2 linked regions of the Arabidopsis thaliana genome follow. The protein of the gene in region 1 interacts with the protein of each later gene in a biochemical or structural test. Each region holds a gene or a part of one and is shown in the gene's direction. Other genes may lie near its edges.

Region 1 (9,556 bases):
TTAAAGACTGCAAACATGCTCTTAGCTAGGAAACTTTTTGTCAAAAGTCATTATGTCTAAGGTTAACCATGTGTCATGCAGCCTGGGGACATTGAGGCTATATGCATTGATTCACGGCCATCAGATGCCATCAATGTTGCAAGAGCATGCCAGGTATGCTACCTGGGGGTTACACGCTTTCCTCAATTTATTGCTTTCGAAATGTGGTTAAACTCACTATCTTTATGGTTCTCTGTTTCTCAAACTGAGGAATCCTAACCTGTTCCTTTTGAATACTGCGATAACATGTTTTTGTTTGTCATATCTCAGGCTCCAATATATGTGAACAAAGCAATAGTGCTGGAAGAGGCTATCAAAATTGGTTATGGAGGCAGACCGCAGAGCGCAAAGCCTGTTTTCAATGTTATCCTTGACAGGTTTTTAGTTTGTTAATGAATCTCCTGGGTTAGTTACACTGTCTCACTCTGTCACAGTTGCTAACCACATGGTGGGTGTTCTTGTTCAGCGCTCCCGATGGACCAGATCCTTTATCGGAAGAGCTTAAATTAGTGAGGAATATGGATTTGGCGTCTAAAGAGGAAAGGTACATCGATGCAGGTATACAAACTGTTCTGGATGGCATCTATATCCAGTGTGCTTTGCAGACTCCTCATTTTTTTCTTGTATCACATTTTGCAGCGATGTGGAGGGACAGACTGAAGAACCTTCAGAACTCGAGGTGAGAAGACAATTGTTGGTGATAATTGAGATGCATTAATGAAGTGACATTGATAATTAACTTGTTTTGGTTGCAGCTCTGTTGTATATAATAAGGGTGTAGAAACTCCTGAGAGCTATGAGTAGTGAAAGAATAGGAGCTAAGAAAGGAAATGGATGTAGATATAATGTGGTGGATTTCAAGGGTATGGAGAGAGAAATATAAGAAGCTCATAGATTGATGGTACCGCATGTACCTGAGAGGAAGCTCTTAGATTGATGGGATCGCAGGATGTATTCAAAGTAAATGAAAGATGTATGAATAACCTGAGGGAATGTGTAAATGTAAATGGAAGAAGACTAAATGAAATGCATTTCTTTAAGTGTGTATAGTATTTTTATTGAATTGGCGATAAGAAGATTATTTAGGAGAAAGAAACTGAGGGCAGAAGCAGACAAAACGAAAGAGGGACGGTTACATACAGTGGGAAAGAAGAGATGTGGATTGTTGTGCCTTCATAAATGTCTACTTGTGGAAGACTAAGCAGTAAGTTAAAAGAAACGTGAATGATTTCCCCTGAAACGATGGTTACACAACACTCCCTTATTCACTTGGTTTTCGGGTTAAAGTTAGAAAAATAAAAGAGGTGGCCCAGCTTTGGTGCATTGAGAGTAGCAGAGTTATTAAATGCTTCGCAGAATTGCAGTTGCACATTCACTCCCTTCTTCTTCTTAATCTCCTTACAGTTACAGACATTCTCTCACTTGCGTTCTTGTTTCTTTTACAAAACAGATACACTATGTTTCCGAGAGAGTCCCTCTGATATTGGCCTGGTTCACTCAGATTCTCTTTTACTAACTCATCTGATTGAGCCGTGTCAATATCTCAGTCCTCTCTCGTCGCTTCTCTCGTATTTTGAAGTTTGCCTCGTTAGGTCACACCACTTGTTTTGTACACACGATCGAGTTGTTGATATGGTGTTGTTGTCTTTGTGTACTCATCGATCACTCAATATATACACATATATTGTCTGTTGCCAAGAACAGATGGACCTTTAAGGTAACAATCTTGTAGATATAATCGTTGATCGGATGCTCCTTTCTCCTTTCTAATTGATTTTTTTTTTAAACTATATATATAGAGATTTCGATGCAATCAACACACACTCGTATTTTTATATATTTTAAAAAGATGCGATGAGCCCCTCCCTCCAAGCTATCACATCAGACAGCAAAGAGAAAGGAGGGTCATTTATTGATGATTACATGCGGAAAGGATGCATTATTGAAGAAGAAGGAGACGAAGAGATAAGGAAAGATGTTTGGTGAATGGTGAGTCATCAAGCCTTTGTAGGAAGGCCATTCTTGGCCCAGGCACTATAGCCACCGACGATATCTTTGACTCCCGTGAAACCCTGCAAATTCGCAAATTATATATCACCAACAAAGTAAAAGTCAGAAAGAAGAGCTTTGTGGTGGAGCTTACTGCATGGAGAAGATCGGTGGTGGCTTTGATAGATCTACCACCGCTCTGGCAGCCAACAATGATGTTATCGGATTGTCCGAAATGGGAGGAGACTTGTTCCAGGAAGTCGGGGTTCTTTGACATCCCTGTTTCACAATCACAAAATTATATCCATCACTCAGTTATCAACTAACCAAATAAAAACATACCTGATGCTCCTCGATTCATGTAAGGCACGTTGATCGCCCCACAGGCATGTCCCTGGCTGAACTCTTCTGGAGTCCTATATTCATCATCCCCATTACATCAAGATCCTAATGATGCTATGTTGATGATTGAAATAGTCAAAAGAGAAAGGTGGGGCGGTACCTGACGTCTAGATAGCGGTGGCCGGCTAGAAGAAGGTCGTGGGCGACTGTTACCGACACCGATGATGGGACTCTGCTCTCCTCCGCCATTTTTTTCAATGGCTTATTATTATATTTGACTGGACAAAGACTTCAATAATTTCATTTTATATAAATTAGTTGGGAAAGTGATTATAATTGGGCCATATATTACAAATACATAATGGGCCTAAGTTGCTGCTTTATGGGCTAAGCTGTTTTCGGACTGTCCTTCATATTTTCATATTACCATTCCAAAACGGCATCATTTTAGCTAACCTCGTCTTGGGTTTACTTGATGAATTTTCAAAAGGTTTAAGGCTTCTGAATGCAATTATTCATTAGTAAAACACCCTTTACACAATTCTTACCATTCTTCGTCAGTCGATCAGATCAACGTTTTACCGTCTCACTGATCGACGGGAAAGAGACGACGACGTTTTTAACCTTTGGGTTGAGATCCGATCCAATATTTCGAAATCGTGATTCCTTGTTTGTGACCTCTCTCTCTCTGCCTCCACACTCTTCTCTAATCCCTCACCTCAAGGTAAGCTTCTTCTCTGGCACTGATTACATTCAAATCTCTCTTCTCCTTGCGTTGCTTTTGCTGGTTTATTCGAATTTCACGACTTGACTCCTTTCTCTTTTGATTGTTGATTCAAATCCCGATTTTGCGCTTACTAGTTGTCGTCGCTCTCTTGAGTGTCTGGGTTCATCTTTCTGACATCTGCTCTGCCAAGATGTCCGAAGACAAGGAATCTGATGTGGTTGGAGAAGAAGAGGAGAGCCATGTGATCAAAGAAGATAAAGAGTTAAATGATGCCTCCAACGAGACTCTGACAGAAAATGGTGATCAGCTACTCCAAATGATTGCTGAACTGAGATTAGAAAATGACTTTCTCAGATCCCAATTTGAGGGACTCAAGGATGAGGTAGCGCAAGGTAGGTCTCTCCAGAAAGCTGAGCAAGTGGAAGCGGACTCTGCTCAGCTGAAACAACTTCAAGAACAGGTCGCATCATTGAGCAGAGAAATTGATGTGGAAAAACAAACTCGAGTTGCAGCTGAGCAAGCTCTTGAGCATCTAAGGGAAGCATACTCTGAGGCTGATGCTAAATCCCAAGAATACTCCTCTAAGTTTTCCCAAGGTCAGAAGCCATCTTTTCTATTTGCTCATTCATTGACCGGAACCAGTGTTTGCCTTTTCTCAACTTGTGCTATTACATTGTTGGTGTAGTTGAACAGAAACTGGACCAGGAAATCAAAGAGCGCGACGAGAAATATGCCGACCTGGACGCCAAATTCACCAGGCTTCACAAAAGGGCTAAACAACGCATTCAAGAAATCCAAAAGGTGAATGTCTTTCTCTACATTTTATAATGCTTTCTGTTTTAGCCACTTTGAGGCTACTGTGAGTTTCAAAAACCATCTTATACTATTTCGGAATTTCTATGCTGCATTTTCAGACATATAGATTTCGCTGCTATGTGCTGTCTTAATCTCAGTGGTATATTATATTGCTATCTTCAGGAAAAAGATGATCTCGACGCCCGTTTCCGGGAAGTGAATGAAACAGCTGAACGAGCATCTTCTCAACACTCATCCATGCAACAAGAGCTGGAACGCACTAGGCAACAGGCGAATGAAGCACTTAAAGCAATGGATGCGGAGAGGCAACAACTAAGGAGTGCCAATAACAAGTAAATAATTCGAAGATAATTTTTACAGAAATTGTATAAAATGAATGTCGCCTTTCCCACTTCTCCAGCTACCTCTAAGAATTTGAGTACTGGAGTTTTCTCTTTACACAGGCTCAGGGATACTATCGAGGAACTACGTGGCTCATTGCAGCCTAAAGAAAATAAGATTGAGACATTGCAACAGTCACTTCTTGATAAGGACCAGGTTTGATCTCTTTCATTTTCTGTAATACTAGTCTGCAATATATAGAAAAATAGAGAGACAAAAGAGACAGAGAGAGAGAGAGAGAGGGGGGGGGGGGGGGGGGGGGGAGGGATGGCTCTGTATACTCTGCTTCATATGCGTACTTGCTTTAATCCTAGATTCTGGAGGACCTGAAAAAGCAATTACAAGCTGTGGAAGAGAGAAAGCAAATTGCAGTTACTGAGTTGTCAGCCAAGCATCAAAAGGTAGTCAGCATCAGCGATTGTGTTACTTCTTATATGCTATGAGCCACCATTTTCCGCTAATGACATCCAAGGTTTTCTCTTCTCTCCACCTTCTTGACAGAACTTAGAGGGTTTGGAAGCACAGGTCGTAGATGCTCTATCTGAGAGGGACAAAGCAGCCGAAACCATTTCGTCGCTGCAGGTTAGTCTTTTGACTAAATTCTTTAGTTCTATTACTGGATGATGTGCTTTGGTTTTCAAATGAGCGAGAGAGAATAGTTTGAAATAAGTGATAAATTCTTCACACCAAGTATACACCTCTTTTAGGTACTGCTTGCAGAGAAGGAATCTAAAATTGCAGAGATGGAGGCAGCTGCAACTGGCGAAGCAGCAAGGCTAAGGGCTGCTGCAGAAACTCTTAAAGGAGAGCTTGCACACCTTAAATCAGAGAATGTAAGTGGAATGTTTAAAGATGGATTCGCAGGACTCTCTGATGCCAACTGTCATTTGTCCTTCGTTATTGTTGCCCATTCGTATATTCTAAGACATTGTTTTGCATACTACTCGTCAAATGATTTCCATCATTTAGCAGATTTACTAGCATGGTTTTAACCAGGGAATGAATATAGGAGTGCGTATAGATAATTGTAAACATGATCTAAGGCGTCAGTCTGTCATCAGACAGCATGTTTAGAGTTTCTATTTGTTTGGCCATATAAATTCCTCTATTTTCTTTTGTTGTAATTCATAGAAGCCATGATTTTTTTTTGTTCCTTTAGGAAAAGGAAAAGGAGACTTGGGAAGCTTCATGCGATGCCCTTAAATCTAAACTGGAAATCGCTGAAAGCAACTACTTACAGGCCGAAATCGAAGTGGCTAAAATGAGAAGTAATTGACGGAGTTCATAAACGTTGAACTAATCTAGTTATGTTTTACTTTTGTCTATGGACTATAGACATTTCATTCATATAAATTGTCAGGTCAGCTGGGATCTGAAATGTCCATGCAGACCCAGATACTAAGCACAAAAGATGCGGAACTCAAAGGTGCAAGAGAAGAGGTACATAGTTTTCTTTTGGTTCTTTTGGAAACTATTGTAGCCTTGGTTAGGTGAACGAATTTATTAGTCATCCATTCTTAATCACATAACGTGAATTATTATGGAATCAAAGAGCCATTTTGAGCTTTAAGGAATGTTCTGCTTTAGCTAGTCTTCATTTAACCATATTGAATTCCTTGTAACTGTTCACAGATCAACCGGCTCCAAAGTGAATTCTCTTCTTACAAGATCCGTGCTCACGCGCTTTTGCAAAAGAAGGACATGGAGCTGGCTGCAGCTAAAGACTCTGAACAAATTAAATCTCTTGAGGAAGCTCTAAAGGTAAGTTATCTAGAATCTTAAGATGGAGATATTTTTAGATGGTTGCCAAGGTGCTTACCAACTAATTATCTTTTTGGGTGGTGTTAGGAAGCTGAAAAAGAAGTATATTTGGTATCTGCAGAGAGGGATAGGGCACAGCAAGATCTTCAGAGTGCTTTGGCTAGCCTTGAGAAAGAACTTGAAGAGAGGTATATATTGACACTGAATCTTTTTCATGTTTGATTCCGGAGGTTGGCTGCTCATTCTCCTCAATTTGCCAGAGAAAACAACTGAGAAATGGTGTTCTCAGGGGACTGGTTATGGAGTTCTTCAGACATATATTGGTCGTCTGAGCTATTTTTGTTTCATATATATTTCAGAGCTGGAGCACTTAAAGATGCCAGCGAGCAGATCAAAAGTCTTGAAGTGAAGCTTGACTCCACTGTTGCTCGCAATCAGGCGGAGAAACAAGCTTGGGAAGAAGACCTTCGGGTTTTAGAAGAAACATGGCGACGTAATTGATTCAAATCTAAATTCGGTTTTTTCATTAGTTCTTGGAAATTGAAATTCCCTTCCTAAAAGGCTACAGTAATCTATAGGAAGATGTGAAGCTTTGACCGCTCAAAATGAAGCCTCACCTGCAGAAGGTATAGAAAAAGAACTAGAAAATGCCAAACTGCGGAATAAACGAATGAAGGTAAATCACTTTTTGTTATACTCATAAAAAAGTTTTTTTGTCTAACTGACATACCTGCAGGAGGAGCATGAATCAGTACGTGAGCTTGCAGATAGACTCATTGAGGAGAAGGATCGAGAGATATCGAGACTTGTGGATGAGATGACAAATCTTCGAAAATCTATGGAGTCAAAACCAGTAGTATGTGGATGGTTCTTTTTTTTTTTTTTTTTGCTTATTACCTTACTTCTCCTTTTTATCTTTGGTTTTACGCTAGTAACTTTTCATTTAATTTGCACTGAAACTTTTCACTCTTCATGTGGCATTAAGTGGAACAAATCTCCATCCCAGGTTCACCACTATGGGAACAACAACACAGGTACAAGATGTTTTCCTGATACCATATTTTTTTAATAAGGGCTCCCTATATGAATGAATCAGTGGGTTCCCTGTCATCAATAACCTATTATTTTCTTTAAACGGGGTTTCAGAGTCACAACAGCAGGATGTATCTAACTTGAGCACTTCTGCAGCAGAGCACCAGATTCTGGTAGGATTTTGTAATGTTAGCTGTCTGCTTGTGTGAGCAAGGAGCGATCTTTAATCCTAGAACTTAATTTCCTTCAAATGTAATGCTATGGCCTACGGGACAAATCAGTGAGAGCTAATCATGACACATAATAATCAAATTTCAGATATTGGCAAGGCAACAAGCTCAGAGAGAAGAAGAGTTAGCACAGACACAGCGCCATATTTTAGCTCTTCAGGTGTAGTAGAATTGGTTGCATTGATCTGTTTCTGCACATGTTGCAATTAGTAACTGTTTATTCTGAATCAGGAGGAAATCGAGGAGCTTGAACGAGAAAACCGTCTTCACAGTCAACAGGTATGTGATTACACGAGAGTTTGGTTGCTTTGCCAGTTTCTTAGGATCTTATTTCAAACTTCCGGTGGTATGCTAAATTACAGGAAGCAGTGCTAAAGACGGAGTTGAGGGAGATGGAAAGAAAACAGAAGAGAGAAGGCGTGGATATGACATACCTAAAGAATGTGATATTAAAACTGCTAGAAACAGGTTAAAAAACCTGGAGATTAAAGGTGGATTCACGAAGTAGATGTTTTAGGGGTAAATTAACTTGTGATAATTGCAGGTGAAGTGGAGGCTTTACTACCTGTAGTGGGGATGTTGCTGCAGTTCAGTCCAGAGGAGATCCAGAAGTGTCAGCAAGCCTACCATAGCTCAACAACAGCGGCAACAACAACAGAGGCGACTCCAAGTCCGGCAAGTGAGGGTTCAGGTCTATCAGTCTTCTCAAGATTCTCGTTTTCATAGTCGGGTGGGCACTGGACACATTCTTTTGGGCCAAGATACATACACATACATACGACATTGTGTTTAAGTCCTTCGTTTTTGTGTAATGAACACTAAAAGTCAAGAAAACACTTTTTGTCCAGATGTAAAGAAAGGATAAGCCACTGAATTGAGTTGTTGGGCCATTTTTAATGGAGTCTATTGTAATCATGCAGAAAACCGCTGATTATCGGAATTAATGAAACTAAAAAAGTCAACGCAAAATTAACTACAAAGATAGTATAATAATAACGGTCGTCGACTTGTTGTTATTGGTCAACCGTTATGTACGGAATCAATTTGAACGGGTCTCACTCTCACTGCCTTGAAGGCCATTTTAATTGAGCGGAATTCATTTCGCCTACTAGTTTCAAATCTCGTAACGAAGAAGGTGATTGGTTCTTCTTCCTCTTGCTGGAAGCCATGGTGAGTAGGCTCAAGATACACTCTGGCTTGCGTTTGTGGGAATTCCCTGATCAGTACGTCATCGAGCCAACCGATGGTTCCTCCGCTTCATGTTTGGATATTAGTCGTCTTGACGGCTCCATGAAGCTCATTGGTGTGTTTCCTGTTTTTGCCTCGTTATATTGGAATCTTTTTGTTCTCTTATGCATGTATGTGTAATGCATCCTCTTGCCTGTCTCAGATCAAGTAGCAGAATGCAACTCTTTGCGTGTCCCTAAAATCCGCTCCATTTTCGGTGTGGTTGGGATGCTGAAGCTCCTGGCAGGTGAAATTTCAGAGATCCTATCGAATAATTAATCTATTTGTGAATGTTTTCATCTTCATTTGAACCAAGAGCAAATTTTCTTATTTGATTTCAGGATCCTACTTAGTAGTTGTGACAGAGAGCGAATCTGTTGGCTCGTTTTTGGGACATCCTATATACAAAATTAATTCGCTCAAGTTTCTTCCATGTGATCATTCACTTGAAAACCCGCATGAAGAACAGGTGACTCCATGTTACATTTCCCTCTTGTATCTATCTCTCTGACAAGCAAGAAACAATAATTAATGGACCTCAACGATCAAAACACTGAACCGCTTTTCGCAGAAAAAGATGGAGACTGATGACTACTCTAGGCTGCTAAGTGTCGCTGAGAGGACAACTGGTCTCTACTTCTCATATGAAATTAACTTGACTCTCACGTAAATAATTTCTCTTCTTCTTAATTTGTGCCAACTCTGGAAATGCTAGATTGTAAAAAGAGATTAAAAAAAAAAGTTGAGATTTTGCTAATCATGTATGTTGTTGTTTCAGTGCACAGCGCTTGCATGATTTGGGTGATGAGTCTAAGTTGCTTCCTTTGTGGAGACAGGTATCCATCCATACGCCCTTTTTGTTGCTTGTTTGTGTGCAAACTAACCTTTAATTTACATCTTTATTGGCAGGCTGAGCCTAGATTTCTATGGAACAATTATATGTTAGAAGTTCTTATCGATAATAAGGTTAGTGAACTCTTGTTCAAGTTCACTCCTCTGTTTTCTGTACTTG
Region 2 (6,528 bases), on another chromosome or scaffold:
CTGTAATTTTATATACATTTTCAGAAACTAATGTAATGCATTAACCCTTTTGTATTACGTATATATTCTCACATTTTATATTTTGTAAGGAGATTCGTTTAGTTACTTTAATTATGAATTGTTATAATTGTGTCTCCTCCATGTATTTGTGTTACTTTCATATTTTCCTTGCATTTATATATTTTATTTACCATAGGATAGTTCTGAATTTGCTATCAACTTGGATATTTTAAATTAATTGAGACTCCATCTAGTTCACCGTCAAATTTTAACTATACTTGTTTAACTATACTTGTTATATAACGAGTGAATAAACTGGAAATAGTATTACTATTAACTATGAACTTACATTCGTAATATTCGAAAATATGTGCGTGAGTTAGTCTTGTCACAAGAAAAGGAATCATATTCTTTTTTTCATTAAACAAAAATTGGAAACACATATTATGGTATAAATCAAAAGATAATTCGATTACTTGCCCCATTTGCCTGCTTTACTTTCAATTTGATAATATCCCATCAACAAGAGTCTTGTTACATGACCAAATTTTCTTCTGTTCTCACGTTATTAAGTATTTTGAAGTGAAGTGCACTCCAAACAAACGTCTAAAACTTAAGGTTTGTATAATCCTCAATCAAAAACATTTTACAACTTATTTCTATTTTTTTATATTGGGGTCTTTTTCCCAGCTACTAATATACGATCACTTAAGTAATTTTTTGTAAAAATCATTAAAAATCCTAATAAACTCATTTGCGTAGTTCAATTACACACATACATATGTAGTAATATAAATATTATTTTCCGTTTTAAATTATCGTAAATGGAATGTCATTTAGAATTTTAATTTTATTCACCACAAATGTTTTTTTCTGTTTTAATATATTTGTTTGTTAAAATTTATATTTTCGTCGCTAATTAGTCCACTGAAATTATAATCCACAGGCTAGATAATCCACTGATTTCAACAAAGGTGAAAAAATTATATAACTAATATTTGTCCATTAGTAGTAGCTAATTAATTGAAAACGTTTGTTCTCTGAATCGAAAGAGCTGCATAAGAGAAAGGGGACACGTGTCAAAAACAGAGTTTAATATGAAAGCGAAGACAATGATTCTGTTTTGACTTATTTGTCATTTGCTGAGCTGTCTTTAGAGGCGCCGAGTAGCCGCGTCTCCCGCAAGAAAGTTCCAAAGCAATACTTCTTCTTTCATTGCATTCATTTCCCCAACTGTCTCAAACTTTGTGCCGCATAAGCAAAAGGTACAAATAAAATAATAATAAAAATAAAGGATGGCGAAAACAAAATTACTTGTATCAAACAAGAACATTTTGTTAATTTTTCCGAGTGAAAACATCACTTGATATGGATATGCGATTTTAGTTGTTGTAAGTTTCTCTAGCATAATTGATAATTCCTATTAACATCAATTTTGATATAGCATTAGGACTTCAATGTTTTTATTTTTAGGGTTTGTTCTTTTTGACTTCATTAGTCTAGTGGTACTTTAAGACCACTTTTTCACCTCACACATGGATGATCCAGACCTAGTCAAGCTAGGAGTGACTTTTATGTTTATATAATTTATACATGTTAAATTATTTTAGTTTTCTTTTTTAAAGGAGATGAATTTAATTCGGTGTGGATCCCGTCTCTAGAAAATATAGGGTCTTTGGGCTTGAACTTCCAAATATTCGAATAACAAAAAAAATTATTTTAGTTTTTAACCCAAAAAGAAAACATTTGCGATCAAATGTTATTGTAAACAACGCACACTAAAAAGACATTTACCCTTTTCGGTGAAGAGACACAGGGACAGCTACATGCGACCCAAAAAATGAGCTTACCCTCTATTTCACATATGTAAGAATATACTCTAATTAGACTCAGCATGTAGTATAAAGAAGGTGTTGACAAAAAAGCTCAAATAATTCGATAAACTAACAATGCACGGGTACTAATTAACAAGGAATTCTCATAAAATTGAAGGTAAATTTAAACAACAATAAGAGCATCCCAATTAGGTAAGAGATTTAGTTAAGTAATTGCGATCAAGGAAACAAGTACAACAGAAGTGGAAGTCTGTCTCTATATCACTTTCTTCCCTGATGCATAAACTTACCTCTTGTTCACAAACTTTGTTAACATTTTGATAATGCAATGAAATGAAATTAGAAATTCAAAACAAAAATAGAGAAAAGTACAACCAGTGGACTATAGTCCAATTAGTCAACCAAAGTAACAATGGGCCGAGCTGATAATATTTAGGCCCAAAAAAAGCCTCTGGACGAATCAGAGACACTGGAAATGAACGTTCTTCTTCGCACTAACTCTCAAAGAAGAAGAAAAGATCTGAGAGGTGGTCGAATGATCCAAGAGAAGAAGAACAATCTCTCTTAGATCGTTTGATCTGATCCAATCGAAGAAGAAGATGGGAATCTTATTCACGCGGATGTTCTCTTCCGTCTTTGGTAACAAAGAAGCTCGAATCCTCGTCCTCGGTCTCGACAATGCTGGAAAAACCACAATCCTCTGTAAATTCACTGCCTCAATCTTTCGCATTGTGTAATAGATTTGATATTTAGTAGCTAGGGTTTTTGATTCGATCGTTTTTTGAGTTGCGTTGATGTTTTTGATTCTCTGTGATTCCAGATCGGCTTCAGATGGGGGAAGTTGTCTCTACGATTCCGAGTATGTATCTAATCTCTCGATTATTGTATAGATTATGGATCTAGTTTATGTATCGTGATTTTACGAATTTTGGTTTTGATCTGATCTTTGCAGCTATTGGATTTAACGTTGAGACTGTGCAGTACAACAATATCAAGTTTCAGGTCTGGGATTTAGGTATGTTTTCGAAGAATGTGTTCGAACGCATTAAACTTTGAATTTGAAGTAGTAGAAATGATTTTTGGTATTATATGGAAGGGATATTCGAAATCTACAACACTATATAAGCATTAGATTAATCCAAATCAAACCATTTTCTGATGGATTCAGTTAGAGATTCTCTGCGTTCTTCTTTCTAAGTTGACTAGCTCCATGGTAGTAGATCTTCAGTGTCACTTTTGTATAATTGGAATGTTTGTCTTTTGTATGAATTAACGAATTCATGATCAGAATTTTCCTTGATTTGGAGTCCTTAGATAAGTTGTTGTCGTATGTGTCGTTATATTCGACTTTCTTGTTCCAAGTTATTACCTTTTCCAACTGGTCTTGATGAGATAGATGAAGTTCTTTGTATTCAAATTTGGGTGATAAAGAGTTCTGTATTATCACATCTTCTTCCTATAGTTTTTATTATTATTATTGTTTTGCACGTGTTGTATGTACATCTGTCTTGTTAGTTATATGCGAATGCTTTTGCATTTTACAAAATTGGTTCAGCGACACAGTACATTAACAAGAACTTTCCTATGACAGGTGGACAAACAAGCATCAGGTAGCTTAATGACCTCGTTTCTCATTTCTAGATATGATGAACATATTGCATCTACTGTGAAGGAATGAAGAACAGAAATGCTCCATCAAGATTATACTGTTTTTGTTTTGCCCAATTTTCTAATGGTATTTTTGACAGGCCATACTGGCGATGCTATTTCCCGAATACACAAGCAGTGATCTATGTTGTTGACTCGAGTGATACAGATAGAATCGGGGTGGCGAAAGAGGAGTTTCATGCAATTTTAGAGGTAAAGTACTGCTGAGGCTTCCTCTTCTTATACTGTTGTATTATTTTGTGATGGACTTCTTGCATCCAAAAGTAATTGAGGTAAAACGATGATGATGTATATCGGTAGTTGAATGGAAATACAATATTGGTTCAGTTTCTTGTTTAGGACTTGTTATAGATGCTTGTAAGTTGTATATCAAGTATTGTTAGCCTTCTAATAGGTGATACTGAAATTGAAGTATCTCGGTTAGTACTGGACGGAAAGAACAAGTGATCATTTCTCTCTGTAGATCTTGCTAGCTAATCTTAAACTCTCAGCAACAATGCTTACTTGAGTTTACCTCTGCCACTGTCAGCATTTAACTCGCACTATCTTTTCAACTATGTTTTATAGGAAGATGAATTGAAAGGTGCGGTGGTTCTGATATTTGCAAACAAGCAGGTTAGTAGTCTCTAAATGTTTGCTCTTCCGATTAGTTTGGGCTGATTCATCTGGAAATCTGTATTGGTTTCTGTTGCTAAAAAGCTTTAGTTTGTTTTGCATGCACAAGACACTTTTTTGCTGATGAAAAATCTATAACTATTTGGTCTGAGTTTCATTAAATCGACTTAATTTAGGATCTTCCCGGTGCACTCGATGATGCGGCTGTTACAGAAGCCTTGGAGTTGCATAAGATAAAGAGTCGTCAATGGGCAATCTTCAAAACTTGTGCTGTGAAAGGCGAGGGACTTTTCGAGGGATTGGACTGGTAAGCACATTCTGAAACCGAACCATTTTCTTGGTCCCATTATTGAAACACTGAACCCATTTCTTTATGCATTTCTTCTCAAATATTCTTCTCTCATTTCCATCTTGATCTTCAGGTTGAGTAATACATTGAAGTCGGGAAGTGGCTAAAATCATCGTCATACACCAATCTGTCACATTTCTCAAGAGTGTAACTTTGATCATTTTTACTTATTGGTTTGTTTAGTATCTTTTTTTTATCTTAGTTCTTCATCTTAAAGAGTTAATATCAATGACATGTTCACTTAATATTCTCTTTTTGTTGTTTTGTTTCATTCTGAAAGAAAAAACCCAACACAGATTTTTGATTGAGACCCATAAGGGGTAATATCATCACTTTTTAACATGAAATATTGAACTGATTCCAGACGAAACACTGAATTGGTTCCAAGTGGTGTTTTTGCCGACTTGGATTCAGAAGCTCAAACGTTTGGGGTTTTAGAAGTCCTAATTTATGTAATTTGTCTGCTCCTTAATTAATGATAAAATTGTTGACACTATTATGCCATTTAGTAGATAGTAAGATTTTTTTTTAATGTTTTCAAAGAGGCAAAAATAATTTGCAAGGAATATATAGAACTAGCAAGATACTAGCCTAAGCTATTTGATTAACTTTCCTGCTAATAATGCTAGTATGCTACCAAAACAAAACACAAGCGATTTGTGAAGCTCTTTCTTAAAGAGTCCGGCTCGGCGTTTAGAGAATGTAACTTGACGGTGGCTCTCTTTCTTGATCTTACCATAGAATCTTTTATATGGCGGGTGTTGAGCAAATTAACTTAAACAAATTTGTTTTATTATCGTAACTCAATAAAAATTACGATTTCTAGTCATAAACAAAAGGCTGTACATAGCATTAGGCCTGCTACGGATCCGGATATCCGGGTTTTTTGGAGTATCTGGATCCGTATCCGTATCCGGCGGATATGTAGTTTTAGGATCCGCATCCGGATCCGTAAACCTCGGATATCCGGATTTCGAATATCCATGAAAAAACCGGATATCCGCGGATATTCGAGATCCGTTTATTTTTGGGAACAAATTCAATTTCCTATTTCACCAACCAGATTGAATTCACCACCAAAAGAGATCGACGTGTGCCCGACATCAGACTTTGCAAGGCACATACCACCAAGATCTCGTCTTTAACGGTGTCCAATCTGCTCCTCCTCATTCATCTCCGCCATCGACACTTTGAATCCCATGTATCATCATTCCCGTAAGTAAACTTCCGTCCATAAATTTACGACGGTGGAACCGAGATGAATATGGTGGGGAGACGGTGATGAAGATTACATGGAGATGAGATGGAGATAGTGAAGGAAATGGTGATGAAGGAAACATTCACGGCGGCAGAAAAAATATGTTATGAAACCCTAATAGTTAAGTCCCAAACAAACTCAAATTCCATCATTTTGTCGTAGTGGGCTAATATTGGACTATTGGGCTTAACATTGATAATGTGTATTTGATTAAGCCCAGGATACAAATATAACTTAAGCCCATAATACAAATATGTAGACATATTGAACGGATGCGGATATTCGGCTCTGATTTTTTTCATAATCTGGATCCGTATCCGGATCCGCCGGACTCGTATCCAGATCCGCCGGACTCGTATCCAGATCCGCCGGACTCGTATCCGGATCCGTCGCACCTAATTATTCGGTTTTCCGGATCGGATCACGGATCCGGATTCGAATACCCGCGGATAACGGATTTTAGTCCCAGGCCTACATAGCATCTACGGTAATTATTAACTATTAAGTAACCATGGGTAAATTCGAATTTCCTTGCCGACAAAAAGAAGGAACTTTCCATTCCTTTTGTGAAAGTCCGTGAGAACATGAACCCAAGTTAATACACCTTCACATGATTAGCCCCACTTCTCCTAAATGTCTCGTAAACTCCAACTATTCGGCTAAGATTCACTAACGTGTCATCTCTCTATTCGCTATTCCCAGATCTCCATGACCCACTTCACTCCCTGCGCGTCCGGTACAATCGCCACTTCCATAACACCAAGAGTCAATACAAAAAAAAAGCCGACTCCATTATTATCCCT

Evidence for each region. Proteins that work in one complex are often made in the same cells at the same time.
Region 2: the proteins of ATGRIP (region 1) and ARF3 form a complex in vitro, tested with the Arabidopsis thaliana proteins (2 studies listed by BioGRID).

What each region holds. Positions count from the first base shown.
Region 1 is NC_003076.8:26,403,620-26,413,175, reverse strand, and holds ATGRIP (Golgi-localized GRIP domain-containing protein), read left to right. Parts: upstream 1-2,820; 5' UTR 2,821-3,094; intron 3,095-3,231; 5' UTR 3,232-3,287; coding exon 3,288-3,693; intron 3,694-3,782; coding exon 3,783-3,898; intron 3,899-4,075; coding exon 4,076-4,245; intron 4,246-4,356; coding exon 4,357-4,450; intron 4,451-4,608; coding exon 4,609-4,695; intron 4,696-4,795; coding exon 4,796-4,876; intron 4,877-5,001; coding exon 5,002-5,127; intron 5,128-5,453; coding exon 5,454-5,562; intron 5,563-5,654; coding exon 5,655-5,734; intron 5,735-5,926; coding exon 5,927-6,055; intron 6,056-6,142; coding exon 6,143-6,243; intron 6,244-6,414; coding exon 6,415-6,548; intron 6,549-6,633; coding exon 6,634-6,731; intron 6,732-6,791; coding exon 6,792-6,911; intron 6,912-7,040; coding exon 7,041-7,089; intron 7,090-7,201; coding exon 7,202-7,260; intron 7,261-7,405; coding exon 7,406-7,477; coding exon of another isoform or gene 7,478-7,483; exon of another isoform or gene 7,484-7,548; coding exon 7,549-7,596; and 7 more. Other genes in the region: AT5G66050 (Wound-responsive family protein), read left to right, coding at 82-153, 310-416, 506-597, 679-718, 795-843; STR16 (sulfurtransferase protein 16), read right to left, coding at 2,037-2,111, 2,183-2,307, 2,371-2,444, 2,531-2,619; ATSAC1B (Phosphoinositide phosphatase family protein), read left to right, coding at 8,485-8,620, 8,708-8,791, 8,886-9,013, 9,116-9,210, 9,323-9,380, 9,454-9,510. UniProt on the Arabidopsis thaliana protein: Golgi matrix protein playing a role in tethering of vesicles to Golgi membranes and in maintaining the overall structure of the Golgi apparatus.
Region 2 is NC_003071.7:10,560,388-10,566,915, forward strand, and holds ARF3 (ADP-ribosylation factor 3), read left to right. Parts: upstream 1-2,300; 5' UTR 2,301-2,434; coding exon 2,435-2,537; intron 2,538-2,655; coding exon 2,656-2,694; intron 2,695-2,787; coding exon 2,788-2,850; intron 2,851-3,426; coding exon 3,427-3,445; intron 3,446-3,583; coding exon 3,584-3,695; intron 3,696-4,070; coding exon 4,071-4,118; intron 4,119-4,294; coding exon 4,295-4,425; intron 4,426-4,540; coding exon 4,541-4,574; 3' UTR 4,575-4,909; downstream 4,910-6,528. Other genes in the region: AT2G24780 (uncharacterized protein), read right to left, coding at 5,294-5,452. UniProt on the Arabidopsis thaliana protein: GTP-binding protein involved in protein trafficking; may modulate vesicle budding and uncoating within the Golgi apparatus.